Linked DNA regions of Caenorhabditis elegans. The protein of the gene in region 1 purifies or fractionates together with the protein of each later gene. This does not show direct contact. Each region holds a gene or a part of one and is shown in the gene's direction. Other genes may lie near its edges.

The links.
Region 2: the proteins of ndua-5 (region 1) and nduv-2 fractionate together in Caenorhabditis elegans (co-fractionation; one large-scale study listed by BioGRID). This does not show direct contact.
Region 3: the proteins of ndua-5 (region 1) and cox-6A fractionate together in Caenorhabditis elegans (co-fractionation; one large-scale study listed by BioGRID). This does not show direct contact.
Region 4: the proteins of ndua-5 (region 1) and T02H6.11 fractionate together in Caenorhabditis elegans (co-fractionation; one large-scale study listed by BioGRID). This does not show direct contact.

Annotation. Positions count from the first base shown.
Region 1 is NC_003282.8:9,522,119-9,527,380, reverse strand, and holds ndua-5 (putative NADH dehydrogenase [ubiquinone] 1 alpha subcomplex subunit 5), read left to right. Parts: upstream 1-2,481; 5' UTR 2,482-2,490; coding exon 2,491-2,742; intron 2,743-2,792; coding exon 2,793-2,891; intron 2,892-3,409; coding exon 3,410-3,511; 3' UTR 3,512-3,625; downstream 3,626-5,262. Other genes in the region: elo-1 (Long chain fatty acid elongase 1), read right to left, coding at 208-388, 848-994.
Region 2 is NC_003283.11:13,624,125-13,627,568, reverse strand, and holds nduv-2 (putative NADH dehydrogenase [ubiquinone] flavoprotein 2, mitochondrial), read left to right. Parts: upstream 1-2,001; 5' UTR 2,002-2,019; coding exon 2,020-2,211; intron 2,212-2,257; coding exon 2,258-2,629; intron 2,630-2,656; exon of another isoform or gene 2,657-2,673; coding exon 2,674-2,829; 3' UTR 2,830-2,944; downstream 2,945-3,444. Other genes in the region: F53F4.12 (Thioredoxin domain-containing protein), read right to left, coding at 355-539, 638-1,082, 1,130-1,348, 1,397-1,522; F53F4.11 (Ribosomal L1 domain-containing protein), read left to right, coding at 3,048-3,444.
Region 3 is NC_003281.10:5,079,003-5,084,629, forward strand, and holds cox-6A (Cytochrome c oxidase subunit 6A, mitochondrial), read left to right. Parts: upstream 1-2,723; 5' UTR 2,724-2,732; coding exon 2,733-2,868; intron 2,869-2,935; coding exon 2,936-3,087; intron 3,088-3,756; coding exon 3,757-3,855; 3' UTR 3,856-3,985; downstream 3,986-5,627. Other genes in the region: alh-1 (Aldehyde dehydrogenase domain-containing protein), read left to right, coding at 283-560, 607-1,353, 1,415-1,503; cah-1 (Putative carbonic anhydrase-like protein 1), read right to left, coding at 4,204-4,347, 4,395-4,616, 4,668-4,848, 5,202-5,314. UniProt on the Caenorhabditis elegans protein: Component of the cytochrome c oxidase, the last enzyme in the mitochondrial electron transport chain which drives oxidative phosphorylation.
Region 4 is NC_003280.10:699,112-703,821, reverse strand, and holds T02H6.11 (Cytochrome b-c1 complex subunit 7), read left to right. Parts: upstream 1-2,696; 5' UTR 2,697-2,704; coding exon 2,705-2,914; intron 2,915-2,963; coding exon 2,964-3,041; intron 3,042-3,089; coding exon 3,090-3,194; 3' UTR 3,195-3,340; downstream 3,341-4,710. Other genes in the region: thoc-1 (Death domain-containing protein), read right to left, coding at 86-235, 342-450, 815-921, 974-1,052, 1,116-1,234, 1,288-1,406, 1,452-1,591, 1,637-1,707.

The DNA of each region.
Region 1 (5,262 bases):
TTTGCAGGAAAGTGGAATGTATTCTATTTTGTCACTTTGGAACATATTTTTTATTTTTTGGTATTTTTAATTTTTCACAGATAACATAATATTCCCGTCAACTTTTGATAACACGATAATGCTGACTACTAATTGTTCTGACACTATCAAAATCAGGTTGATCAGAGAACGTTAGTACTTTGGTACACTCTCTTTGATTGTACTCACCGACAATTCCTTTGTTGGCAATGGTTCCAAAGAACTCTGGGGTCATTTTGACAGCTCCTGCGATGGAAAATGCGGCGAGGATGAAATTCCAGATGTTGAGTGGAATAGTCAATTGGAATGGTTGACGATTACGCATGAACCATTTTGTTCCGAACACAACGACCATGTACAGGATTGAAGCCTGGAAAATGAAATATGGTTGAATGAGGGATGAAAATGCACCAAATTGAAAACACCCAGTTTTCAATATCTCAAAATGAATTCTCAAAAATAAATTGTAAAGAATACAAACATGTTTCAGAGACGCTTCGAATACATGCTGGATATTTTTAAAAATATTCAATTTTATAGGTTCGGACCATTTTTCAAGAAACTCATTGGTTTTCAAGTGCAATAAATTTCTTGAAAGATTATCCAAAGAGAACCTATGAAATAAAATACTTTCAAAATATTCAAAATTAATTTGAAGTTGCATTCTTGGTTGAGAATTTTTTTTGAATAATTGTTGTAATATAGGTTGTAATTCGTTTAGTGTTGGGAAAAATTTAATAAATTATACAAATATTTCAATTTCGGATTCTTCGGATTTCCAATAAACCAAACAACTATAATCAAAATTTTAATTCTAAACAAATTTTACCTGAATAGTAACATCAAAGTGATCAGCAAAGAACTTGCGACCTTCTGCGTCAGGGAAATTCTTTGGCCCATGAGTAGCAATAGCCACAAATCGTTTCGTGTCGAATTTGACATCGAGAAGCCGTTGAACGAGCGGATGCTGAGCCATCTTCTCCCCAAGATAAACTACCTGCAAAAATAATTGTTTCAAAAAAAAAAAGAAATAAATTTCCGTCTGCAAAAAGTGCGAGAGATAGGATAGTAAACAGGCGCGTCTGTCGACGGGGTGAAAGGGCGATATGGAGTAGTAAAAAGAGATGAAATGGAGGAAAAGAAAAAGGGAAAAAAGAACGATGGCTCCGCCCCATCACCCCATATCGACCTTGTGGAGGATCGAATTCAAATGAAATGAAAAGAAAAATGGAGTATAGAAATAGAGAAAAACGTCCTTCGTACCCACAGCAACTCTTATCAGAGGTCTCTTGTGTCCTCGACCAGAACCTGCCGAAAAGGAAATTTTTCGAAGAGAGCATTTTTTATTACTTGCGATGGCATGACTTTTTTGTAGACGGAGATAAATGAAAACAAACGAGAACGCTGATATAACATGTAGATTCATCGAGTCTAGTTTTCTAGCCAAGCATGGAGGTCTAAAATGTAATGCTACCAGTTTAATTAACAAACATGACATATGTTTTCAATCAAGTGAATCATCTTGATCAGAAAAAATTAAGCGAATTGAAACCACATTTCATGGTTGAAACTTTTGAGAAAAAATATTTTAAGAAAGCATTTTTGTGTATTCCTTCAAACCAAAAAGGGCTATGTAAATAGTTTTTTTTTCAAACCAGCCATGCTTGCAACTTTTATGATGGTTGATAACTGAGCGTCCAAAATGATGACACATTTTTAGTAAAACAAGCTCTAAATAAAGTTTAGAATATTTGAATGGAACAATACAATAATATAAAACTTTTCTTTACGAGTTTGAGATCGTTTTGAGACAAGAAGGCATAGCTTTTTACCGATTGCAAAATAAAAAGTCGACCAGTTTCAAGCTGAAAAGGAAAATAACGTATTTTTTCAATAAAATGTAAGAGCAAAACAAAAAAGGATAAAAAATAATGCGAAAAAAATTTAATTCGTGGAGCACTAAACTGCACGCGGTAACGACACTCCGATTGAGGGACAGTGTATTGTAATGCTTTAAAAGAGAGACGCAGAGAAATTTTAAAGTTTTTTAGCCTCGAGAATGGTTATTTTCTATATTTTTATATTCATGATCTAATTTGGAGAGATTTAATGATTTTGTTTGTTTTACTCAAAGAGATGTTGCAAATATATTTAGTAAAAACAATTGGAAACTTTTCACTACCTAAATTTGAACTACGCGCCGATTTTTCAACAACTGATAAACAAGGCGCGCAACGACACTCCGTTGCCCAGTTTAATTTTTAACCAGATTTTTATTTATTTTGTTTTTAAAAACACATTTTCTTTGATTTTATACTCTTAAACCTTTTCAACGCTTTCTTGATCACAAGTTTTATTGAAATTAAAATATGTTATGGATAAGCAACGCGCTTAGAAACGGATTTATAAGTTTTTAAGCAATAAACTCGCGTTTTTCTTTCATAAATATTTTTCAAATTTGTTTTTCAGGTGATGTCGTCCCGCTTCTTGCGTACGGCGGTGGCTCGTGCCACACAACAGAGATCCATGTACGAGAACCCTTACATCAACCGTTTCAAGGCCAGGAGCAAGGTTTCCGAGGATTTCCACAAGAAGACTACAGGAATTACTGGACTTTTTGTCAATGAGCATCCACATCGTGCGTTGACTGTTGTGTATGGCAGAATTCTCCGCGCCCTTGAACAAATTCCACGGGATGCTGCTTACCGCAAGTATACTGAAGCTGTAAGAAATTATTATTGTTTCTACCGCAATCTTATGCAATATGTTTTTAGGTGGTAAAGCAGCGTTTGGCTCTTGTTCAAGCCGAAAACGACATTAAGAAGCTTGAGGAGAAAATTGGAATGGGACAAATCGAAGAAGTCATCGAACAGGTGCGTCAAGTTTCAATGTTAAATAATCGAATATCTATGAAAATAATGAATTTATAAATATTTCATAATGTTGCTTTCATTTGAAAGCGTTCAGAGACCCGAAGAACTCGGGGGATGTCCAACTGGGGGGATTACCAACTCGGGGGATTGGCTCCGCCCACAGAACCGTGGCTTACAATACGCCCATTTCTGCAACTGCCGCACGGTTTTAAAATCATTTTTTCTTGTTAATCCTCGCTCTATTGATAAAAATACAGTTTTAAAACCGTGCGGCAGTTGCAGAAATGGGCGTATTGCAAGCCACGGTTCTGTGGGCGGGGCAATCCCCCGAGTTCTTCGGGTCTCAGCGTTCACGAAGACTACGATGTTTCTAATATGTCAATGTTTAAAAGTTTCCGATACAAATATTTCGCGTAAATCAGAATAAATTTTTTTAAAATCATTTTTGCACCGAATAACAAAATTTTCGTTTCAAAAATAAATACCACTGCAATATTTTAAATGCTCAATAATTACAGGCCGAATATGAACTGGAGACAACACGAGCAATTGTTGATTCAAAAGCATGGGAGCCTCTCGTCGAATCTGCTCCAAAGGGACAATGGTCGTGGCCAGTCTAGAGAATTTTCGAGTTTCTCATTAATTTTTCTTGTAGATCACATTTTAACATTTTTTTTCTGTTTCACATCTGAATATAAAATTATAAATAGTGTTCTAGAATTCTAAAGAAAAGCTGAACAAATCTGCGAAATGGAAAAATTGCATGCTAATCAAATATTCAGATGAGGTTCTTCGTATTCACAATCAGGAAAGAAAATATGTACTTCACCCTCTCATATTTATTTTTTTTTTTTTGTATTTATGTTAGTGCGAGAACCACACCGTTTTCCTTGTTTCTGGGTGGTGATGTCGTAAAATATCTTGGCCATCTTCAGAGCTCATTTGTGCTCCGCCACGATGAGCTTTCTCCACTTTTCTGTTTTTAAAATTGCTCATCTGGTATGTTTCGTGACTTGTCTTCCTTTATTTCCTCTTTTTCTTTCAATAGAAGTACCAAACAATGACATGATAATTGGGAGTACAATCTGTTTCACACGTCATGTGCGGAAGAAGAAGAAGAAGAGATTCCCCGAAAAGTGGGCGGAGCTTGTAGTAGAAGCTCATCGTCTTGGGACCGAAGCAACAGAGATGGAATGATGGTTTTGCTGACGATTTCACACTTGGATGGATTTGAAAAGAATCCACGAAATAGAAGAAGAAGAAGACGATGAGTTTCGAGAGAGAGAATCCCTCCATTCTCTGTTTTCGTAAGAAAATTCAACTTTTTCCTGCGATTTTTGTTTTCAGAGAGTTTTTATTTTTTTGGTTGGTGATCATTTAAAATTCGTATTGCAAGTCATTAAATCCCGCGCTTGAAATAATTGGGCCGAGCACTCATTGTTTTGAAAAATTGTATATTGTTCTTGTTCCACCGAATATTTTTTGAGCAGTCAATTTTCAACAATTGTATTATACAACTAAACTATTCCGTTTTGCTCGTACAGTCTGAATGAAAATATTTAATTTATTTAGAGATTGGTAGAAGCTTTTTTAGAAATCCGAAAAATCGTCGTGAGACTTTTCGCCATATCTTCCACGCTAACAACGATTTAATATTACTGTAACTACTTCTATTTTATTGGCCTCGGATGTATTATAATTTTCAAATTGAATAAAAAATTACTGCAAAGAATTTTAAATAAAAAGATGTAGCAAAACCATATAGACTCTAATTACAGTAACTCGTTAACGAGTATATATATTGTAAGCGTGACGAGACCCATGCGTTTAAGACTTAGCGAAAAGACTGATCTCTAGACGTATACCTAATATAGGACGGTGCAGGTTCTCTTTCTCGGGGACGTCCCGCGCATCACTTTGTAATGATTTTGTGATTCATAGAATAATCATGCGTGACGTCACATCCCCACATTTTCCAGAAGTCAATCGAGACGTGGTTATGAAGATTACACGAGTTTCGACCCCTATTTAAACATAGAAAGCACTTTTATCCAACATTATTATGAAGAGGTTCCCAGTTTAAAATAATTTTGGAAGACTCGACACGCTGAGAACGACTTGAGAGCGTTTCTCGCCATTCTGAACGTGTAGCTTCTTCTTAATTGCTCACAGCGTGGCATAAATATTTAACTACTTCACTTTTCCAGCATTTTGTCTGTAATTTTGCCAATTTAGAAACATGCCAACTCTTTTCCATTATCAAACTCTTCGACTCCTTCTGGAGTTTCTTGGAAAACAGAAGTTAATCAAGGGAGAGTAGATACTAAAATAGCGTGTTCTTTTTCAAAGCAGAGAGTAAACAAAGTTGTTA
Region 2 (3,444 bases), on another chromosome or scaffold:
AAATTCAAGAAAAGTATATTCGGACCTGACTGAACCGTAAGTTGAAAATACGTTAATTGTGAAACTTTTTGAAATTTTTTTTTTTTGAGAAAAAAAACTAAAAAGGAGAAAATAAGGAAACTGCGTCAAAACAACAATTGACAGGGAGGCGGAAAAGAAAAGCAACAAAAAAACCAGCTGATGAATGGTGAAAAATAATGTGAATGGGTGAAACGGGAGGGTGCAGAGAAGCGAAACAGACTTCATGTCACGTGTTGACGGCCTTTGCACAAATTGGGAATCTAATTACATGTAATTGCATAAAACTGTGAAATTCCAACAAATGTTACAAAATATGAAGGCTAGAAATGTACTTTAAAGTTCAATGCTATACGCCACTTGTTGCTGGTCACCCGAAATGAGCTCTTCATCGTCGAATACGTGTTCTCTAGCTTCTTCTTCAATCTCTACATCCTCATAATAATCTATTGAATGATGATGAGAATCATGATGATGATGCTGGTGTGGAAGAACTTGCGAAGCCATGCCCGTGCGGACGTCTGAAAAAATAAACGTTTCAGAAGACTTTTGAAAAGGAATGAAATTCTGAAAAGCTAGACGTTGTCCTTGATGTAAGAATCGAATCGTAAAAACTTACAATACATGGGCGGCAATGGTCGTACCAAAAGAGGCTGTTGCGTTGGAGATGAAAATGGTGGAAACTTGCTCGCTGCTTTCCGACGTTTTCTGGGTGTTTCTTGAAAATCTTCCTGAACTTCCCCAGTTTTTTCATTTATTTTGTTCGATGACCTGTCATCTTTGACCTGCTGATGTTGAACTGAAGAAGAAGAACCTTCTCCATGTTCCAATATTCCTTCTTCGTTGTCTCGAAATTGAGCTTGCGTAGCTTCTTTTCTCTTTTTACACATTCTTCGCTTATTAACACCATGTAAAAGCGGTAGACATTTCGCACCGAGTGTCCGTTGTACCTCTCGTTTTTCTTTCCCGTTCAATGGGATCGGTGCTGTGGATGCAGCTTCTTTTGCAAAATGTTGAATGGTTTCACGAATTTGTGCACTATTCGGTTCTTCGTGTCCATGCATCTGAATATAACACCATGCAACTTGAAACAGGTTTATAAAGAACTTACATGTACAAAATCAATTCTAGCTCTATCAACTACTGCTTCGAGATGACCTTTTCCGTTACAAAAATGCTCAGCATTGAGGGGTCTCTCTGGATCTTCCTTGATGATATCGTTGTCTACTAGGATCAACGGAACTTTCCGCTTCAGTTCAGCACCTAAATTTCGATAACCATTCTTCACTTTTGAGCATGATACACATTTCCAAGAAACTAGTCCAGGTATCTGAAAACTAATTAAATATAGAAATACTTGATTTAAAGAAAAATTCACCTTATATTTCGTTGCGATCATAAATTCATAAACTTTGTTACGGTCTGTTCGACTTGTGTAAATGAGTACAGGGTTTTTCCGATGGCGTCCGCTAACATACGTTGCTTCGCCGAAGTTTTCTGACATCTATAAAACTTTAATTTTGATGAAATTAAACAATTAATATGCGCTCTACTACTAATAGTGATCAGAAGCAGTTAAAAAGATTCGAAAATTCTATAGGTTTCTAATTTAAATATGCGTGAAAGTTAAAGAAGAATTCTTCTTTAAATTTCTTCAAAGAAAACAAAAAAAAACAAAAAACGAAAAAATAATAATAAAACGACACTCCGATATGCCATCTCACGCTTAGTTTATCGTAAACATACACCATGGCCGGCGATTTCGAAAAGAAAGGAACTAGTCCCTTCTGAATGTCCGCCCATTTTCAGGCCCTATTTTCAGCTTTTCCCAGTTATCCTGATGAATTTCCGTTGAAAATAATATTATTTTCTAATTCAGCGTATTCATTTACATATAACCAGTAGTTCTACCCTAAGAAGATGTTGCTTTTTCTTGTGAAAAATCATAAATTATCGTTTTTTTATGAAGAAATCAATTTTCAGGTGATCGGCCTGCAAAAGATGTCGTTGGCATCGAACGTGCTGCTCCAGGCGTCACGCCTTGGTGAAATGGTGATCAAGCGAGGCGGAGCTACTGGATTGATGGTTCACCGAGACACTAAAGAAAATAATTTGAATGTCAAATTCAAATTCACTTCGGAAAATCAAGAGAGAATTAAGGCTATCATGGATATTTATCCAGAAGGACATAAAGTGAGATTATACTTTAATGCTGGTTTTTTCAATCAGTTTTATTCAGGCTGGTGCTCTTATTCCACTTCTCGATTTGGCTCAGCGGCAACATGGCTGGCTTCCAATTTCAGCCATGCATGAGGTTGCTAAAATTTTAGAAGTACCAAGAATGCGTGCTTATGAAGTTGCCACTTTCTACACCATGTTCAACAGGCAACCAGTAGGAAAGTATTTCCTCCAGGTCTGCGCAACTACCCCATGCATGCTTCGAGGAGCTGAAACCATCACGGAAACTATTGAGAAGAAACTTGGCATTCATGCCGGAGAAACAACAAAAGATGGACTCTTCACATTGGCGGAAGTAGAGTGCCTTGGAGCATGTGTCAATGCTCCAATGATTCAAATTAACGACGATTATTTCGAGGACCTGACACCAAAGGTATAAAAATATCAATGCGTTAACAAAATTATGTTAGTTTTCAGGATGTGAACGAGATTCTTGACGATCTTAAAGCAGGACGTAAACCAGCTGCTGGACCAAGATCCGGGCGCCTAGCCGCTGAGCCATTCGGAGAGCTTACTTCTCTCAAAGAAACCCCGCCTGGACCTGGATTCGGTTTGCAAGCTGCTCTTAAATAAACGCTTGGACATGCTTGAATTTATTTGTAGATTCCATCTTTATCAGATCCTTGGTTTTTAAAAATCCTAATTTTCGTTTTTAATTTTGCGATTTAGAGTAAAGTGTATTCAATGTATTTATCTGATGATTTTCTTTTTCATGATCTGCGGTTTGCATTCCGTTTCTTTATACTTATCAAATTTCTTTTTGTTTTAAAATTTTTAATTGTTATTTTAAGATGGGTAGAAAGAGCACCAAGAACACTCCTGCGAAGAATGTCGTCGCCGATGTGCCAGAGAAGGACGAAGAAGTCGTTGTTCCACCGAAGACACCAGCCAGGTCCCCAAAGACTAGAGCTCAGAAATCACTAGCAGCAGGAGGTGCTACTCCAGCTCCAAAAACACCGGCTCCAAAAACTCCATCGCGAACTACCAAATCGACTGTGGATACACCAGCACCAAAGACACCAACTCGTGCTGCAAAAACTCCAGTCGTCAAGACTCCAGCTGCAAAAACGCCAGCCAAGAAGGCGCCAGGCGTTCAAACCGTTCCTAGTAGCGATGAGGAGGAGGAAGATGATGAGCTGCAGGTTGTGAAGTCAGTTGCTCCTTCAGTTGAAGTTGCGAAGAAGGAAG
Region 3 (5,627 bases), on another chromosome or scaffold:
TAATTAAGAAGAAAACTCAGAAAAAACGAAAAACTTTACTGCCAAATGAGCAAAGAGATCTACAAAAATAATTTCGAATTCTCAATTTTATGAGAGAAAAAAATCGAAAAACAAAAATTTTTGATTGTCCGGACAACCGTAAATCAAAAAAAACTGTTTAGAAAATTAACAGCCAAAAAATGCAATTTTTTGAATCAAATTTTGTTTGTATTGATGAGAAAAATTAAAATTTATTGTAAAAAAAGGAAAAATGGCTAACATTAAAAAATAACTTTATTACAGTTATTACGCCGGATGGGCTGACAAGAATCACGGAAAGACTATTCCAATCGAGGGTGACTACTTCACTTACACTCGTCACGAACCGGTGGGAGTCTGCGGACAGATTATTCCATGGAACTTCCCACTTCTTATGCAAGCTTGGAAACTTGGACCAGCGTTGGCTATGGGAAACACAGTCGTTATGAAGGTCGCCGAACAGACTCCACTTTCAGCCCTTCACGTGGCTGCTCTCACAAAAGAAGCTGGATTCCCAGATGGAGTGGTTAATATCATTCCAGGTCAGTTTTGTAAAAATTGTGAGTTTCTCAAATAAATAAATTCCAGGATACGGACATACTGCCGGACAAGCTATTTCGTCGCACATGGATGTTGACAAAGTCGCTTTTACTGGATCAACTGAAGTTGGAAGACTTGTTATGAAGGCTGCTGCAGAATCGAATGTCAAGAAGGTCACTTTGGAACTCGGAGGAAAATCACCAAACATCATTTTCGCTGACGCTGATCTCAATGATTCCGTTCATCAAGCCAACCACGGACTCTTCTTCAATCAAGGACAGTGCTGTTGTGCCGGATCCAGAACATTTGTCGAAGGAAAGATCTATGATGATTTCGTAGCTCGTTCCAAGGAATTGGCCGAGAAGGCTGTTATCGGAGATCCATTTGATTTGAAAACTACTCAAGGACCACAAGTTGACGGAAAGCAGGTTGAGACTATTTTAAAATATATCGCTGCTGGAAAGAAGGATGGAGCTCAATTGGTGACTGGAGGAGCCAAACACGGAGATCAAGGACACTTTGTGAAGCCAACTATCTTCGCTAATGTTAAGGATCAGATGACTATTGCTCAAGAAGAAATCTTTGGACCTGTTATGACTATCATTAGATTCGACACAATGGAAGAATTAGTTGAAAAGGCTAATAACACTATTTATGGATTGGCTGCTGGAGTTATGACTAAGGATATTGATAAGGCACTTCATATTGCCAACGCAACCAGAGCTGGATCTGTCTGGGTTAATTGTTACGATGTGTTCGATGCTGCTGCTCCATTCGGAGGATTCAAGCAGTCCGGTAAGCTAATTTATTATTAAAATTTCTCCATGCCAAAGTTAAAAAATACTTTTTCTTTTAGGAATCGGTCGCGAACTCGGAGAATATGGTCTTGAGGCATACACTGAAGTAAAGACTGTCACCATCAAGGTTCCACAGAAGAACTCATAAATTTCTTGAATTTTCGCTTTCCCTGTAATTTTTGTTCCTTTTGCTTTTTTTTTTGAAAAATGTTTATTGCTCTTAATATACGTGTTGTATTTATCTATTTTTCACATATATTGAAAAAGAATTCTGAAAGAAATAGACACCTACAGGACGACTCATAAAAGTCTCGACTTCTTTGTGAATTGATTGATTCAGGACAAACGAATTATTACTCTGTACATTAGAGGATCAGTCGTAAAATCTTCAAAAGGCAAAAATTTTACGAGCTTCCGGTAGGTTACGCGAAATTTTAAAAAAAATTTGGAACGCTTCACGAATTTGCGTGTCATCCTTGCGCAGGGGCCATGCTAATCTTCTCTGTATTGTTCCAATTTTAGTATATGTTCTCGGAAGAACGAGACAGCCAGGACCAGTTGTTGCTTATATAGTGGCCACCTGCAAGGCGGCAGACATCTCGTGGGTTCCGCAATTCTCCGTCAAGCAACTCAAAAAGGGCAAGAATCGAACCAAAACTTGATACTTATTTCCGTCAATAACTTTTTAGCCAATGAATCGATATTAATAATTTTTTATGTGTTCGTTCTACATGTCATGTTTTAACAGGTAACAAAGTTTCAGAAAATTTGAAGCATTTCTAACGGAGATAATAGGCAAATTAGACAGCATGTTGCAGCACAATTATTTCACACACCTTAAAGGCGCACGCCATTTCACCGGCTGGTCTCGCAGCGAAGACGGCCTCTCCGTTATTTTCTCTTGAGGAAACGTGCGTTTCTGTGGTTTTACTTCACAAACAGTGCTTTTATTGATTATTTTTGAGTTTCAAATGATTAAATTACAAATTATGAATTTTTTAACCACAATAGCATATAAACCGCAGCCGTAAATCGATATTGTTCGACTAGAAATTCCACTTTTTCGAATTCAAATCTGCAAGTGTTCAACCATGTCATTCAATCATTATTGTCGGGTTTAAATTTCTAAAATTCTTCATAGCAATTATTAGGTTTCTTAAGACGTAAGAAAAACCTCATTTGTTTTTATTTTGTGAGTTTGTTTTATTGCTTTTTCTGATTTAAAAATCACAATTTTGTACTTTTTCATCAAATCACCTGATTTTTCTCTTTTTTTCTCAATTTTCACGTAAACAAGTTTGTTCCCCCTCCTTCTCCCCCCGCGTTCCGTTTTTCTCACAAATCTCAACTTCATTTCAAATTTTAAAGGTATCCGACATGAACCGTCTCGCTCAACCAGCTACCCGCTCGGTCGTCAAGACCTTCCAACGCAAATCCTCAGGATCATTTTACGGATCCAACAATGTCGAAGGATTCAAAGAGTCATATGTCACTCCACTCAAGCAAGCTCACAGTAAGTGTTTTTTTTTAAAATAAATAGTTTCTATTTTGATGTTCAAAGATTAAAATATATTTTTCAGATGCTAGCGAGACCTGGAAGAAAATCTTCTTCATTGCTTCGATTCCATGCTTGGCTCTTACCATGTATGCCGCCTTCAAGGATCACAAAAAACACATGAGCCACGAACGCCCAGAGCACGTCGAGTACGCCTTCTTGAACGTTCGCAACAAGGTAAAATATTCGTTTTTATCTTGAAATCTGCCATAGTTTAAAATTTTACTTAAAAAATGTTATTTAGCTTTCATGTCTTCCTCATTAAAGAAGTTATCGGCAAACTGTTTAAAAATGTCATCTTTCTGGCATTTTTCAAACTAAAAAGGATGACTGTGAAGTTTAATAATATTCAAAACGAATTAAAAAAAAAACAGTCGCTTTTTTGGAATTTTAATTTCTACAATCAAGCTTTTAAATGATTATACAATTTTATAATTTGGCGTTTTCTCAGTAATTAAAAAAAACGATTGGTCTCAATAAATTCCCAAGATGGTTAAAAATTTCAAAAAAAGAGTAAGAAAAATTTTAGCTAAATCTCCAATTTAGCCAACATGTTCTAGTTGCAGCTGCTGGAATACAGTTTTATTGAATTATTGTTTTGGTCTATCAGACTAAAATTGACCTAAATCGACGGAATAACGTAAAATTAACAACCAAAACATGAAAAAAGGATGATAATAAAATAAATACTCATTTCCGACGTTTGCAACACAGAAAAGTTGACAAAATTAAAGATTTTAGCAAAAACTTTCCTACTTTTTTGCAATTTAGAATCGCCAACATTTTTTTCTTGAAAATCAATCAATCCATTCTGAAAATGCATTCCTAATAAATATTCAATTTCAGCCATTCCCATGGTCCGATGGAAATCACTCATTGTTCCACAACAAGGCGGAGCAATTTGTTCCAGGAGTTGGATTCGAGGCTGACCGTGAGAAGCACTAAACAATGCTGGACGATACAATTAATCATCATATTTAACGTCATCCATTTGTGTGTGTGCTTCGAGTTGTTTAGTTTAACAAAACGAGACATGTTTTGCGCAAGTGTAGTTTCAGAATTGTATAAAAAGTCGAAAAAATTATTGCAAAACAAGAACAATTTGAAAAATATTCGTGAGAAATCTTTGAGCAAAGTCGGGAGTTTTCTTTTCAGACAAATGGATTATTGTGGCGACGAGAAGAATGCTGTTGTTTTGGCAGTGGCAAATGATTTGCACGATAGTGGATTTTATTCACTGAGACATTGCAATTGTAGCTCATCTGGAATTCAAATAATTTTCTTCAGATATTTTTATGAAAGAAATATCCAAACCTTGTGCTGAATATTTGTTCTTACTAGTCGATTGTTAGTTTCTTGAATTTTCCTGAAATTTGGGGCAACGGGGACTTTCTCGGCGCCTTCCATGCTCAGATATAAGTGTGACCACTCCTCGAACTGTAAATTTAGAATCAAAGTTTTTTATAGACTATTAAAAAACTTACATGCTCCTTTTTGATAAAAATAGGTTGATTCAGAATAATCCAAGTGACAGTCTCATGGCATCCAGGAGAAGTGAGAGATCCTTCATAAGTGATAATATCTCTAGTGAATGGAAGAAGTCGCCAAGGTTCGAAATCAGCAAGTTGGACACGTTGATCCTTGTAACTGATGCTAGCTGTTGCAATTGTTAGTTTGATGAGTTCTTGATTAGTTTCAGGTCCAAACTAAAATATATAAATTTGAGATTTAACACAATTTCTAACGAAGCAACTCACATCTACCAAAACTGATAAAATTGCAATTCCATGTGGAGACTTGGAGGCGCTCGTAAAATTTGGATACAAATCTGTATTATATGCAACTAATTGTACTTCCATCGGAAATCGTCGTCCATTTATTGTATGCTCACTTCCGTTCTCATTTTTACGACCCATATGAAAATCGATTCGTTGAACCCTGTAAAGCTTGAATGGTATATCACGCGGGTTCTTAAAACTTCGTTTTTGAAATCGAGGTGAAAGCGCGCTCTATAGCCAAATGAAAACGCTCCGCCCCCAAATAGTTGGGTCTCGTTAGGAATTGGCGAAAACTTGTGAATTCAAACTCTTAATAACGTCAATAATTTTTTTTGCACACCACTTCAACTAAAAGAGCCTTAAAACAACATAAACATATTTAAAAATGCTTGAAAATGTTTGAAATTATGGTTTTGCCGCCAATACCTAACGGGACCCAACTTTAGAGGGTGGAGCCTTTACATTTGACCGTGGAGCGCGTTTGCACCTCGATCTAAAAATCATTTCACTCACCGATACCTATAACCGTATAATGGACCACTTGTAATATTGACGGATGGTTTTTTAGAGGAATATCCTATTCGAACACGAACCATTTGACCGGTGTTCACAAATTCTGAGACAACCTGAAGTTGTGGAACTTGCGCGTGAAATATTATGATGTATACTACCCAGGCGCGAAATTTTGCGATGTTAGCTCCAAAAATACGGTTCCAGGTCCCTAATTTTTTATTACATGCGAATAGGTGTGCGCCTTTAAAGATTACTGTGTGTTTTCAAACTTTTGTTGATGTGGAATTTTAAACGATTTTTCATAGTTGTTTCGATAAAAAATATGTGTATTTTTGTTAAAAACTCACATGTAAAAATGTAACGCATAAGTTTTAAAGAAATCGTGAGATAAATTATTAGGAAAAAATTCAATTCCGCATAACTGAA
Region 4 (4,710 bases), on another chromosome or scaffold:
AGCGTTTTTCAGCTTTTTTAAATCATTTTTTCCAGTTTTCAATCATTTTTAAATCGATTTTCATCAATTTTCCAGCCAATTTTACCTTTGGAGACGTCAAATATTTGGTAAAAAACACGTCGTTACTGGATCCTTTTTGCTGCTTTTTCTGTCGATTTTCCAGAGCTTCTTCCTCTTCGGAGGAGAGTTTTTCCAGCTTATTCGACGTCATTAGGGTGAGAACTGCTGTCAAATCCTGAAAAAAAGGGATTTTTGGCGATTTTCAGTTAGAATTTGTGGAATTTCAGCGATTTTTCCGGCCAAAAAACCTCAATTTTCAGTGATTTTCAGCGAAAAATTACCGTTTTAAACGTCAAAAACTTCTCCTTTTCGTATATTGAATTCGGATTTGACATGAATTTTTGAAGGGACCAAAACTGGCGATACATCTCGGGAGTTACTTGGATTTCTCTGAAAAATGAGCAAATATTCGAAAAATCATGTAAAAAATGCTCAAAACTGCGATTTTCTAGCTTAAAAAGTCAATTTTCAGTACGAAAACCGTCTGAAATCGCTGAAAATCCAAGTTTTTCAATTAAAAAACCATTTGGTCTGCTAATTTGTAGTTTGTAGTCTAGCAGACCCATTCTCTACAACACCACATGGGTCTGCTAAATCGAAACTTGTAGTTTGTAGTCTAGCAGACCCATTCTCTTCAAAACCACATGGGTCTGCTAAATCGAAATTTGTAGTTTGTAGTCTAGCAGACCCAAAAAATTCAGGTAAATGATATTTTTCAGTGGAAATTTCTCGCTTTTTTCCGATTTTTCCGTACTTTGAGTTATCCTCTTCGATTTCTCCAGTTTCCATATCCTCTGCTCCTTCCGTAGGTGTTGGAGCCGATGACGTGGCAGCGAGAAGAGCTTCACCGTCGGTTTCAGACTGAAATTTTGCGATTTTTTGCGATTTTTCAGTCCAAAAACCGAAAAAATACCTCGTCGTAGTTGGTAACGTTAAGCGTGTTGAAGTGTCCCATAAAGTTTACACCGGATTTTTCGGTTAGCGGGAGGAATCTGGAAAAAATTGAGTTTTTCGCAGGAAATTTTGGGATTTTTCGAAAATGTTTCGCTTTTTACCTCGAGAGAAAGAACATAATTCTTCCGCAGAACGATGTTTCAGCGGTTCTACTCAAGCGGCGGAGCAAATCGTTGCAGAAGCGTAGAATATTGTTCTGGGCGGTTTCAATGAAGCCGGGCTGCAAAAAATCCGCTTTTTATCGGGAAAATTCTTTGAAAACCGGCTTTTTACCTGCTTAAACTCGTTCATATTCTCTTCTACTATGCTGAAAATCTGCTTACACTCCTCAATTGAGCTCATCTCCAAGAGGTCCTGTAGAGTGCTCAGGGGAGTGTTTTTGGAGCACAAACCTGCAAAAAACTCATTTTTAAACGAAATTTCGAGAAAATAATTACCAAGCTTGGAGCAATTCATCACAAAATGAAAATGCCGCCTTGCAAGCTCTTCCTTGGTGGCTGAAGGCTGCTCGGCGACCTTGAATCCCCGCTTTTTCAGAAACCCGTCGACTTTTAGAAGCACAAATTCGTCGTCTTTCCTGTAAAATTGCATTATTTATCTGATAATTCTTTTAAAAACTCACGCAGTCTTTTTTTCCGCCTTCACAACCTCCTTTAACCCGTCCAAATCCCGATTTTCGATAACTGTCTCCATTTTTTGACCTAAAACATTAAAATTGACGGGTGAAAGTTGAGAGATTAACGACTAAAATTTTTTATTTGTTTATTTTCGCAATTTTAAAATAGAAAATCAATAGAAATCGGTTCAATTTAATGAAAAAATTAATTAATTCGAAAAAAAAATTATCGAAAAAAAATCACTTGCAACGAAGCTCCGAAATAACGAGGCGCGTGTTGTTTACCGTAAATCAAACTTCAGCCAATTTTCTTATTTTTTTTTCACAAAATACTCATCCGGCAACGTTTCTGGTGAAAAATCTGAATTCATCAAGTTCTAAGGAGTATTTTAACATAGTAAACTTTGAAAAAACATATTATCTATCTGCTACATGGCGTTAGTTAAAAATAAAATACTTCAATTTCCCTTTAATCGATTCCTATGAAATTTTTCTTTAGTTTATTAGAAAAAACCATCATAAAATGTGTATTTTAACTTCAAAAAATTAGGTTCTCAATGCTTGAAAGCTTGAGAAAATTAATTTCCAAAAATTTGTTCACAACGATGCTCCGAAATAACACCCTGCGTGTTGTTTAGCGACACCGCCGAATTCATAATTTTCCTTTTCATTCGGTTTTCTTTGATTTTTAGCTGGAAATTCCGATTTTTTTTGCATTTTAAGCACAAAAATCAGCTTTATGAGGTTTTCTGACAGTTTTAATGCGTAAATTTGTAAAATAACTCGAGAAATCGCTTGGAATCTGATTTTTGAGAATTTTTTGCATTATCTTTGTTTTTGCCGGATTTTTAAGAGTTTTCAATGATAATTGTGCATTTTTGCCTAATTTTTTGCTTGTTATAAGTGACTTTATGTAAAAAATCTCAAGAAAATCATTTAAAATCCGAGAAATTGAGCTAAAAATCGATATTTCCCGAAAAACATGTGAAAACTTGTATTTTTTCAGTTTTTCTTCAGCTTTTCCCCAGAATTCCCCACTAATTTTCTTTTATTTTTTTCTTTTCAGGTAACGAAATGGCCAGTCAAGCCGCCTCAAAAGCCGTCACCTTCGCCTACAACGGCACGATCGCCAGCACGCTTCGCAAGTTCGCATGGAGCAACTTGTGGGGAGGACGCGAGTACGGGCTCCAATTCCACGACACCTACTTTGAGCCGGCTCCAGAAGTCACCGAGGCTCTCAGACGCCTTAATCTCCAGGAGCCACACGTTTTCGATCAGAGAAAGGTGAGAAAATCGATTAAAAATTGGAATTTTCAATCTTTTTTTACTTCAGATCCGTCTTTCACGTGCCCACACTTTGGCTCTCCACGGCGAGAAGCTTCCAAAGGCTGAATGGACTCAATGGGATCAGGTAGCTTTTCACTCGAAATTCAACTTTAAAAAATCTATTTTTCTTCAGGAATCGTGGTACTTGAAGCCATATTTGGACGAGATCGAGGCAGAGAAGAAGGCTCGCGCCGAGACATCCGGACTCATTCCACCATACCAAATGAAGCAACATTAGATTCTTCGAATTCTTCAAAATTATAATTTTCCGCGCCCTTTTTTTTCGTCTTTTTCTGTTAAATCACCTCTCTCAACCACGTTTTTCTCGGCATTCTAGCGGGAAAATCGTGTGAATTTTGAAATTGTGAGTAAATTTTGAGTTAGAAATTCGATTTTTTTTTGTTGTTTCACAGTCAAATCAAACGCGAATTTTTTCAGAATTTCAGACAAATCAGATGATTCAAGTGTCTGCTAGGCTACAAACTACAAATTTCGATTTAGCAGACCCAAGTGATTTTGAAGAGAATGGGTCTGCTAGGCTACAAACTACAAATTTCGATTTAGCAGACCAATGGGTTTTTTAATTGAAAAACTTGGATTTTTTGCGTTTTCAGACGGTTTTCTCACTGAAAATTAACTCCTTAGCCTGGAAAATCTCGATTTAAAGCAATTTTTACAAAATTTTCACTTCTAATCTCCAAATATTCCTCATTTTTAAAAAATATTTTTCAGAGAAATCCAAGTGACTCCAGAGATGTATTGAAAATTGGTCTGCTAGACTACAAACTACAAACTTCGAAACTTCAAATCGTGACATTTTATTCGATAACCAGCCGATGACCGCGCCTCCGGCGCGGCCAACGACTGGCGGAGTTTAAAATGTATAACAAATAGATGTCCTTTTAATCATTCAAAAATGTCTCATTAAAAAAAATTGAAACTTCATCGATTAAATCGCATTTTCTCCTTCCATGGTATACTATTCAGAAAATTCAAAGAGACAGTTAGAATGTTCTGATTTTTCTACTACACATTATCATTATCAGGCTTTCGAAAAAATTCCACAGGGTTACAGTTTTTTTAATAAGTTAACAACTTTCCTTAACTGGAGAAGTCTGAATAATTAACTACTAATAGTAAGTTCTTTGAATATAGATGTAACGAAACAAATAAAAACTCCTACAGTTTTAGGAGGTTGTAGAGCATTTCAGAACTTTTTTAAATTTTCCAGATGATTCTAGAACAGTCTAGAATTTTCTTGAAACTTCCAGAAGGTGCTGAAACAAAAAAATTGATTCCAGAACAAAAATTTGGATTTCCCGCCAAATGTTTTCCTCAGAAAATTTGAATTTCCCGCTAAAATTTCTTTTCTCATAAATTTTGAAGTTCCCGCCCATATTTTTAAGGGTCTCACCACGATAGGTCTCGCCAGTTCCAGGTGGTACTTAAGCTAACAAAAAGTTTCTCAGAAAATTTGAATTTCCCGCCAAAAATTTTTTCTCAGAAATTTGAATTTCCCGGCAAAATGTTTTTCACTGAAAATTTGAAATTCCCGCCAAAATGTTTTTCACTGAAAATTTGAATTTCCCGCCAAAATTTTTTTCACTGAAAATTTGAATTTCCCCCAAAATTTTTCTCACAGAAAATTTGAATTTCCCGCCAAAACTTTTTCACTGAAAATTTGAATTTCCCGCCAAAATTTTTTTTCACTGATTTGAATTTCCCGCCAAAATTTTTTTCACTGAAAATTTGAA